2 linked regions of the Rattus norvegicus genome follow. The protein of the gene in region 2 purifies or fractionates together with the protein of the main gene of each other region. This does not show direct contact. Links are inferred from orthologs where the notes say so. Each region holds a gene or a part of one and is shown on either strand. Other genes may lie near its edges.

Evidence for each region.
Region 1: the proteins of Kat7 (region 2) and Brpf3 purify together in Homo sapiens (affinity purification with mass spectrometry; 3 studies listed by BioGRID and IntAct, counting the BioPlex papers as one, with this or other methods). This does not show direct contact. The link is inferred for Rattus norvegicus from reciprocal best matches to the Homo sapiens genes KAT7 and BRPF3.

What each region holds. Positions count from the first base shown.
Region 1 is NC_086038.1:6,870,991-6,875,434, reverse strand, and holds the start of Brpf3 (bromodomain and PHD finger-containing protein 3), read right to left. Parts: upstream 2,851-4,444; 5' UTR 2,850-2,850; coding exon of another isoform or gene 2,824-2,849; coding exon 1,379-2,823; intron 465-1,378; exon of another isoform or gene 441-464; intron 1-440. UniProt on the Homo sapiens protein: Scaffold subunit of various histone acetyltransferase (HAT) complexes, such as the MOZ/MORF and HBO1 complexes, which have a histone H3 acetyltransferase activity.
Region 2 is NC_086028.1:80,717,729-80,721,589, reverse strand, and holds the end of Kat7 (histone acetyltransferase KAT7), read left to right. Parts: intron 1-13; coding exon 14-160; intron 161-968; coding exon 969-1,075; intron 1,076-1,607; coding exon 1,608-1,709; 3' UTR 1,710-3,255; downstream 3,256-3,861. UniProt on the Homo sapiens protein: Catalytic subunit of histone acetyltransferase HBO1 complexes, which specifically mediate acetylation of histone H3 at 'Lys-14' (H3K14ac), thereby regulating various processes, such as gene transcription, protein ubiquitination, immune regulation, stem cell pluripotent and self-renewal maintenance and embryonic development.

The sequences.
Region 1 (4,444 bases), on a different chromosome or scaffold from region 2:
TTCTTAGCCGGCAAATCTGGCTCCTGGGAAAGGCACCTCAAACAGCCATGACAACCAAAAGCTAGCCCCAGGGCACGGTCACCCTACAAATGGGGACCGAGCACTGACCCAGTTACTTCAAGAAAGAGGTAACCAAGACCATCTCTGTGCCTGGAAGACACAGAGTTGCTGAAGTTCTCAAAATAAGAGCCTCCCTGTCCTGATCTTGTTCTGGTACCTTCCCAGCATGGCAGGTCTGGCTGCCTGTTCCTCTCCTAGTGCCAATTTCCTGCACCCTGCCAGATGCTCCTTTATCATAGCCTTCTACTCAAGACAGCCTAGCGCCTACAGCCCAGCGCCTGACCTTTCCCACCTGATCCCACCCCTTAGAACAGGATGTGGCATGTAGTAAGTGCTCAATAAATACCTCATTGAACGAACAAAGGAGAGAACAACTTTACCTCCCGTGGCTGTGGTTTCTTCATCTGGGAATGTGGGAGAAGGTGCAAGGACTACATTAGATGAATAGTCTCCGAGATTCCCTCCTCCTCTACAGCTTGTCTCCTTTCCTTTTTTTTTTTCTGAACATGGGCTTGCTGTGCAGCCCTTACTGGCCTAGAACTCATGACTTACAGCAGGCTAGACTTGAACTTCCAGAAATTCACCTGACTCTGCCTCCCAAGTGCTGGGGTTAAAGGTGTATACCACCACACCCAGCTTCTACTGTATATGTTTTAAAGGAATCAGCCTTGAGGTGGGCTCTGCTGGAACCCACCAGCATCCCCAGCTACTGAACAGATAGTTTAACACAGGTGCAGTGCTCTCTCTGAGGACGGGGCCGGGAGGCTTGGTTATAAAGCTCTATTTTCCCCAAAATGTAAAGCTTCTCAAGAGGAGGACTGCCCCACCCACACACATCCCTCATAAACAAGTTCCCAGTCTTTCCCGGATGAGAGATTTTCAGAAGGCAGGTGTTACACACTTAGGGCTCCTCACTTGGAATTGAGTTTTGGGGAGCCTGCGTGAGAGCCCTTGGAGTTGTCACAGAGATGAGTTTAAGGACACAGCCTGCACATACTAATCATCTCTGCAAAGACCAGAGATGATAACCATATAGCGATCCCCGGGACAGTTAACAGTGAGGATTTACCCTGTCCACAATGTCACTCAGTGTCACTGTGAAAGCTACCACGTCACTTACACTGTCACCAGGGTTTATGTCACTCTGAACCAAAGGAAGCACATTGCTTCGAGGGCACGGACAGAACCCGTCAGTTAGTGACAGGCCCATCAGGGAACACAGAGGAGACCAGGCATCCAGCCACGGTGTTGGCGAAGACCTGGGCTACTGTGAAGAACAAACCAAGAGTCCCGCAAGAGACTGTCTCATGAGGCTCACCTGTAAGAGGGTATCTGTGGGACAGTGACCATGGGGACAGTGATGGAGGGTGTCTCTCGGCCAGCTTCCTCCAGCTCCTTCTTGATCTTCTGCTTTGAAGTCATCTTACTCTTCTTGGACACCCCCTTGAGGGGGCTGCCCACCCCACCTTGGCCTTCCTGGCCCTCCTCCTCTCCTTCTTCCTGTTCCTCCTCCCCACCACCCTCTTTCAGCCCATCCTCATCCCCGACTTCACTGAGGCTCCTCGGTGAGTCACCCTTCCTCCTGGCAGTGGCAACACTTGGGGAGTGGGCCTCGCAGTAGGCGGTCTTGCGCACGGTAAAGATGGTGCCATTGAGACTGGTTTCTCTCATGGGTTCAATCTTCATGAACAGCCCGGCCCGCTGCGCGCACGTCACGTGGAAGGCGGTGTAGCAGTTCACTTTATGGCACTGGATGGCCGCGCCCAGCCCCTTCTGCTTGCAGATGTAGCAGGTTAGCTTCCAGCGGGCAGGCGGGATGCTGTCGATGCCCTCAATGGGCTCCAGGAACACCGTATTGGCGAAGCAGACTTCAGGGATCCAGATGGCGCAGACTACATGGGCCCAGTGGCCATCACTGGTCTGTTTGAAGGCCCCCCCTTTATTGGGGCACAGGACACAATCCACAGGCCGAGAGGGAGACTGCAGGCAGCAGCGGCAGAGCCACTGGCCCTCTGGGATGTAGGGAACGCCGTAGCACTCCTGGTGCACAGCTAAGTTGCAGATGTCGCAGAAGAGGATGACGTTGCTGTTGTGGCACTCATCATCCAGGCACACGCAGCAGAAGGCGTCCTCGTCGATCAGTGACTGCTGAGCCCCACTGCTGCGGCTCTCCAGGTACGACTCCTTCTCAAGCCGGTCCACCAGCAGCTCGAAGGTGTCCGCCGACACGGAGCTGTGCCCGTCTGCTCGGCGCTTCTCATTGACCATGTCGAGCCAGGCCATGTCCTCCTCGTCCATGTCATACTCCACCTCTGCGTCCAGATCTTCCGGAGGCTTCTCGATGTAGCGGTAGTAAGCAGCGGGCAATGGGGGTGCTTCCGGCTGGCTCCCTGTGTCCACCACTCGAAAGCTGGGCTGCGGGAGGTGGAAGGACGTGCCGGGTGCATGCTTGGAACAGGACTCCTTCTTCTTGCCCTTGGATGAGGGTTTCTTGGACTTGGCGGGGAACTGGGGCTGCTCGCTGTTCTCCTTGTTGCTGTTGCATTCGGTGATATCCTGAGCCGTCAGCTCATCCTCGGTGATGATCTTAAGCGGGTCATAAATGCTGATACGGTGCAGGCGGCCGTCCATATCGACTTCCACGATCCTCTGGGCTTGGGCGTAGGTCAAGGTCTCCCGTGTGGGTGAGCATTTAAGACTGTATGGGGATGGGGATCTCCGGCCCTCGGCATTCTGCCGTGACTTTCGGCGAGGCTTCCTCATGGCAACTGGAAAGGACGAAGACAGGCCTAAGGAGAGAAGGCCACGGGAGTGTGAGCTGGATGTCCCTTGCTGCATGCACTCATTCACCCTCCATCCATTCAAATGGACACCAAAAGGTCTGTTTCCTGTCTAAACAATACCCCTCTAAAGCAGTGGTTCTCAACTTTCTTAACACTGCGGCCCTGGAATGCAGTTCCGCATGTTGTGGTGACCCCTCCCCCAAACACAGTTATTTTCATTACTATTTCATAACTGTAATCTTGCTATTGTTATGAGTCGTAATGTAAATATCTGTTTTCCAATGGTCTTAGACGATCCCTATGAAAACAGTGGTTTGACCCCTGCCAAAGGGGTCAAGACCCACAGGTTGAGAACTGCTGATTTAAAGGCCTCTCACTCTTAAATCTCTTTACAAGCATCACATCGGTGAAACGTTTTCTCTGGTCACTTTAAAATTGCAAATCTCAGTTGGGCAGTGGTGGTGTACACCTTTAAATCCTAGCTCTCAAGAGGCAAGTAGATCTCTAAGTTCCAGGCCAGCCTGGTCTACAAAACGGAGTCCAGAACACCCAGGGCTACACAGAGAAACCCTATCTTGGGAGGAAAACAACAGCAAATCCCTTACCTCACCCAGCAATGGGCTGTTCATCCTATTTCCTATTTTAGTTTTTGGTAACACCATCTTCTAAGCTACGTAATTTACCAGTTTACCATGCTTGTTACTCTACTTCTAGCTGAATGTGAACTACACAGAGGAAGGAGTTATCTATCTTATTCCCTGGGAAGTGTCTGAAAAGATGCCTAGAAAAGCGAGCCCTCGCAAGTGCTAGGTGACTGAAACCACATACTTCTGTGTTTGTGTGTGTATGCGTATGTCTGCACGTGGAAGCCAGAAACTTACGTCAGGTGTCTTCCTCAATCATGAGCCACCTCATTTTGTTTGGGATGAAATCTCTTGCTGAATCTGGAGTTTGGGGTTCAGTTAGATTGGCTGGTCAATGAACACCCAGAGCTACGTGTCTCTGTCCCAACTGTTGTAGGGCTTACTTAAGTTCAGTTTGGGGTTTCTACCCCGCCTTTGATCATTTGGTTTTTGGGTAAAATGCACACGTTATTTACAATAAGCCGTAGTTAGCACTGGAGCTCAGCAGATATCTACCCTCTATGTTGTTAAAATCTATTTTTTAATCAACAACCTCAAGTTATTACTATGTTTTATCTGGGCTGCTCTTAACTTTAATTGCCACCCCTGGGGCTATGCTTTCTTTCTTTCTTTCTTTCTTTCTTTCTTTTTTTTTCTTTTTTCTTTTTTTCGGAGCTGGGGACTGAACCCAGGGCCTTGTGCTTGCTAGGCAAGCGCTCTACCACTGAGCTAAATCCCCAACCCCGGGGCTGTGCTTTCTTGACTCCTAACCCATGGCGTCTCCCTCCTTTTACCTTTTTCTCTTTCTCCCCTGGGAGAAAGAGATTAAAAACTGATATAAATATGTCTAAGGATGCATGGTCAGGCTTTGATGTCAATGCTTAGGAGACGAAAACAAGAATAGTTAGGCTCCTGGTGAGCCTCAGGCCAGCCCACTGCACCCAATACTCGAGTTAGAGGCCCACTTTGCATTTGACT
Region 2 (3,861 bases):
TTTCTCTTGGTAGGTTATTTACTTTCCAAGGTAGAAGAGAAAGTTGGCTCTCCGGAACGCCCACTGTCAGACCTGGGGCTTATAAGCTACCGCAGCTACTGGAAGGAAGTACTGCTCCGGTACCTGCACAACTTCCAGGGCAAGGAGATCTCCATCAAAGGTAGGTTGCATTCCTTGACTGTGGCCCCCATTCTGTTTAATCCGACCGTGGCTAGGGAGCATTCCAGAGACCGCCGCTGCAGGGCTGAAGATCCCAGAACATCTGTCCTGGGAATGGTTCTAAAGTGTTTTCTCCTGTCTGGAGTTGTTAGCACTTAATTCATATAAGAGAAAGACCTGGAGAGATGGCTCAGTGGTTAAGAGCACTGGCTCTTCTTCCAGAGAAACTGAGTTCAATTCATAGCACCACTATTATGGCCCACAACACATGGAACTCCAGTTCCAGGAACACACAGGTTCATAGACATACATCCAGGCAAAACACCCATCCACATAAAATAGACATGCATACAGACACAAGCATATATGTCATTTGTTTGCTTGTTTTTCGAGTCAGGGTTTCTCTTTGTACCCCTAGCTATCCTGGAATTCACTGTGTAGAGCAGACCCGCCTGCTCTGCTTCCTAAGTGCTGGGACTGAAGAGGTGTGCCACTATGTCCAGCACCTCATTGCTTTTGAAAATCAAGATATCATTCAGCATTCTGAAACATGTGAATTTTAGGAAAGACATCTTCCCTTTAGGATGAATTTAGGGGTTTCATATTTGACCTTGATTTCTAAGGGGTCAAAAGTAGCTTCTTAACCATTAAATGGTTTTTTGAAGTTACTTGGGCTGGTGAAACATTTGAACAGGTTGACCCAAGTAACACAGATTTGGACTCTGGGAAACTCCATGTAAGGGGGCCTTGGGAGACATGGGGTGTGGGAGTCTGCTCCCAGTGGGATCTCAGTGGCTCCTCTGTTACAGAAATTAGCCAGGAAACAGCTGTGAATCCCGTGGACATTGTCAGCACTCTGCAAGCCCTTCAGATGCTCAAGTATTGGAAAGGGAAGCACCTAGTTTTAAAGAGACAGGTGAGATTTTCCTCAGCTGCCTGTGGTGTCCTTAAAGTACAGGGGCCGCGCTACCCACAGTTACCTTCCCTTCGAGGGCTTAGCTGGAAGCTCCTCCTAGCCTTCTTCCAGCTGGCAGCAAGGTCCACAGGGCCTTTGTTGCTAAGCTTATCTCCCTGCTTGTCCTTATCAGAGCTTTTGGTAAGCTCTGTCAGATCTGGATGACACAAGCTAAGCGGCTTTGTGTGGCTTTACACTTAGGCCCATCTCTTCAAGTCCTCCTGAGTTCTAGGACTGTTGTTATGTGGAATGCCACTTCAGCTTAGGTCCAGTCTGACTTGTTAGTTATCTACACATCATAAGCATAAATCAATAATAATGATTTCCAGTTCTCATTGAAGGCAGAATAGGAATAAAGAGGAAACTTTGCAAATCAAAAGATAATATCATCTTGTACCCTAATATATCATTAGGACTTGGGTGAATCTGTTGCTAGTCATTTTAAAGCGTATTAGTTCCGTGTGTATAATAGTCGCTTCCTTATTCTTCACAGGACCTGATAGATGAATGGATCGCCAAAGAGGCCAAAAGGTCCAACTCCAACAAAACCATGGATCCAAGCTGCTTAAAATGGACCCCTCCCAAGGGCACTTAAAGTGACCTGTCATTCTGAGCCAGCGAGCCCCAGCAGTAGAAATCCGTACCCTAGGGATCTGTCTGTCATTTCTGTTGCTCTTGTGATTGGCAAGTATAGTATCCTCTGGGAAGGCCACCCCCTCAGCACTGTTCTGGCTCCAACCTGCGTGTACACTGCAGACACTGGTTCTGAGGAACTGTTGTTTCGGCCTCAGTGAGGTTGCCTGGATGGATCTGTATTAGGCTCGAGTACAGATCCCTCGTAGCACTGACCCAAGGAGTTGTGTTATGGTACTGTACCTGTCCAGTCACTGGTCCCCTCTTCATGCTCTTTAACCCCGTGAAGTTTGTTGTGTCCTGACCTTTGTGCTAGTGCTTTTTCCTGCCTGGTTACCAGACCTCCAAACATGGTTGCCACCAAAGGGCCCTTTCCAGTTAGTCCTCACACATTCTTCATGAAGGGGTGGGCAAGAGGCAGTGCCTGTGAGTGTCTGTGTGTCTGCTGGGAGGGTCCGCTCACCCTGCATTTCATCTCACAGTCACTTATTTTTCTCCCTTTTTGTCAAAAGACTTAACTTTGATCAGGGTCAGGCTGACCCAGAGCTAGGAACGCCTGACAATTCCCAGGGGTTCACAGGCCCTGGTCCATCTGAGTGAGTCGGTGAAGTTTAAGAGGTGGTGATCCTGTGTTTTCCTTTGTATTTACTTATGGGCACTGGGGCAGCATCTTGCTGGTGGAAATGAATGGGTAATTTTTTCCACAGCAGAAATGCCCCACTTTTTTTCTGCCCCCTTTTATGTTGGCAGTTGCCAAAATATTTTAACAATCTTTTTTCATGCCACATCAAGTGATCCCGCTGTGGGTCTTTCCACACTGCCTTCGCCAGCCTGGTGTGGGGCAGCTGTACTTTCCATGTAAGTTGCACTGATTTTGTCCAGAGCTTCCTGGGAGAAGTGGAAAATGTTTGAAATGACTTGTGTTTCTCAGCCCGTGACTCAGCAAGACAGAGTGGCCGCACTGCTACGGTTCGCTTCCCTTTCCAACAGTGCCTCCCCCAGCAGGCTGAAGTGCTTCTGTCTAAGAACTAACTCATTTCCCTTTCGGGACTTGCCACCATCATCCTGTTCTCTGGGTTCCTATTTTTGGTGGTGTTGAGTGAAGGAAGAAATGTCCCCTCTAATTTCTCCCTGTCCCAGTATATAACCTGCTATCTTGGGGCAGCTTTTGATGTCTGACATGTCACCCTTCCCAACTTGTCTCCTCCAGCACTGCTGTCTTCACGTGGCACCCTCTCACCACAACCCTAACTCTGGTCATTTGTGCCTTTCTCTTGTCATCTCTGTACACTACTAATATTCACTGTGGGTTGGAGGGAGCTGATTTTAAGCATGTTCAGTGGCGGCTCCCCTCCAGTTTCAGTGTAACTGTTAAAATGTATCCAAAAGCCGCTTCCTGGGGGTTTTCTTAAGGGTAAAGGCCTTTCACGGATGCTGAGCCCTTCCCCACACGTGGTAGAATGTGCTCTTCTGTATCTACTCAATAAAGCATGTTCTCTGCTCATGTCTGATTAGTCTGAGGCTTGTTTATTTGTGAAATGGTATGCTTGACCTGGAGTTGGTGACTCTGAAGTGTTAGCAGTGGGGTTTGTAGCTGTGGAGTGTTTTCCCCTGTGCAGCAGTTGTTGACAGTGTTTTCTCTGCTCAGAAGTGGTAGAACAAATGCAGTCTGCCTCCCCTGGCTCCAGGAAGTAGTTATGCACAACAGTAACTAGTTAGTATAACCCACTCTTTCATTCATCTGCCTCTGGTTTGGGGTCAAGGAACCAATGGAAAGTTAAGGTAGGCTGGGGAGTCCATGGATGCCTGTAGGAGGCAGAGACAAGTAAGTGTATTCCTTTCCTCCAAGCATGTTCACTGGGAGCAAGTCGAGCTGTGTCTAATCATTATGCAACCTAGATTATGCCCCTGGAAATAGCTGCATTCTTTGCTTGTGTTTGCTCAGGCAGGAGCAGGGAGGTTGGGCATTGCCATCTGTGGTGGAAAGGGAGCTGTGTCTGCTCACTGGCAAGGCCTCTTATTGGAGTTGGAAAATGCAATGGAGAAAAATAACCTCCCTTCTATTGATCTCAGAACAGGGTTTGTTCAAGTCTCTGTGTTGTAAACATTTGCCG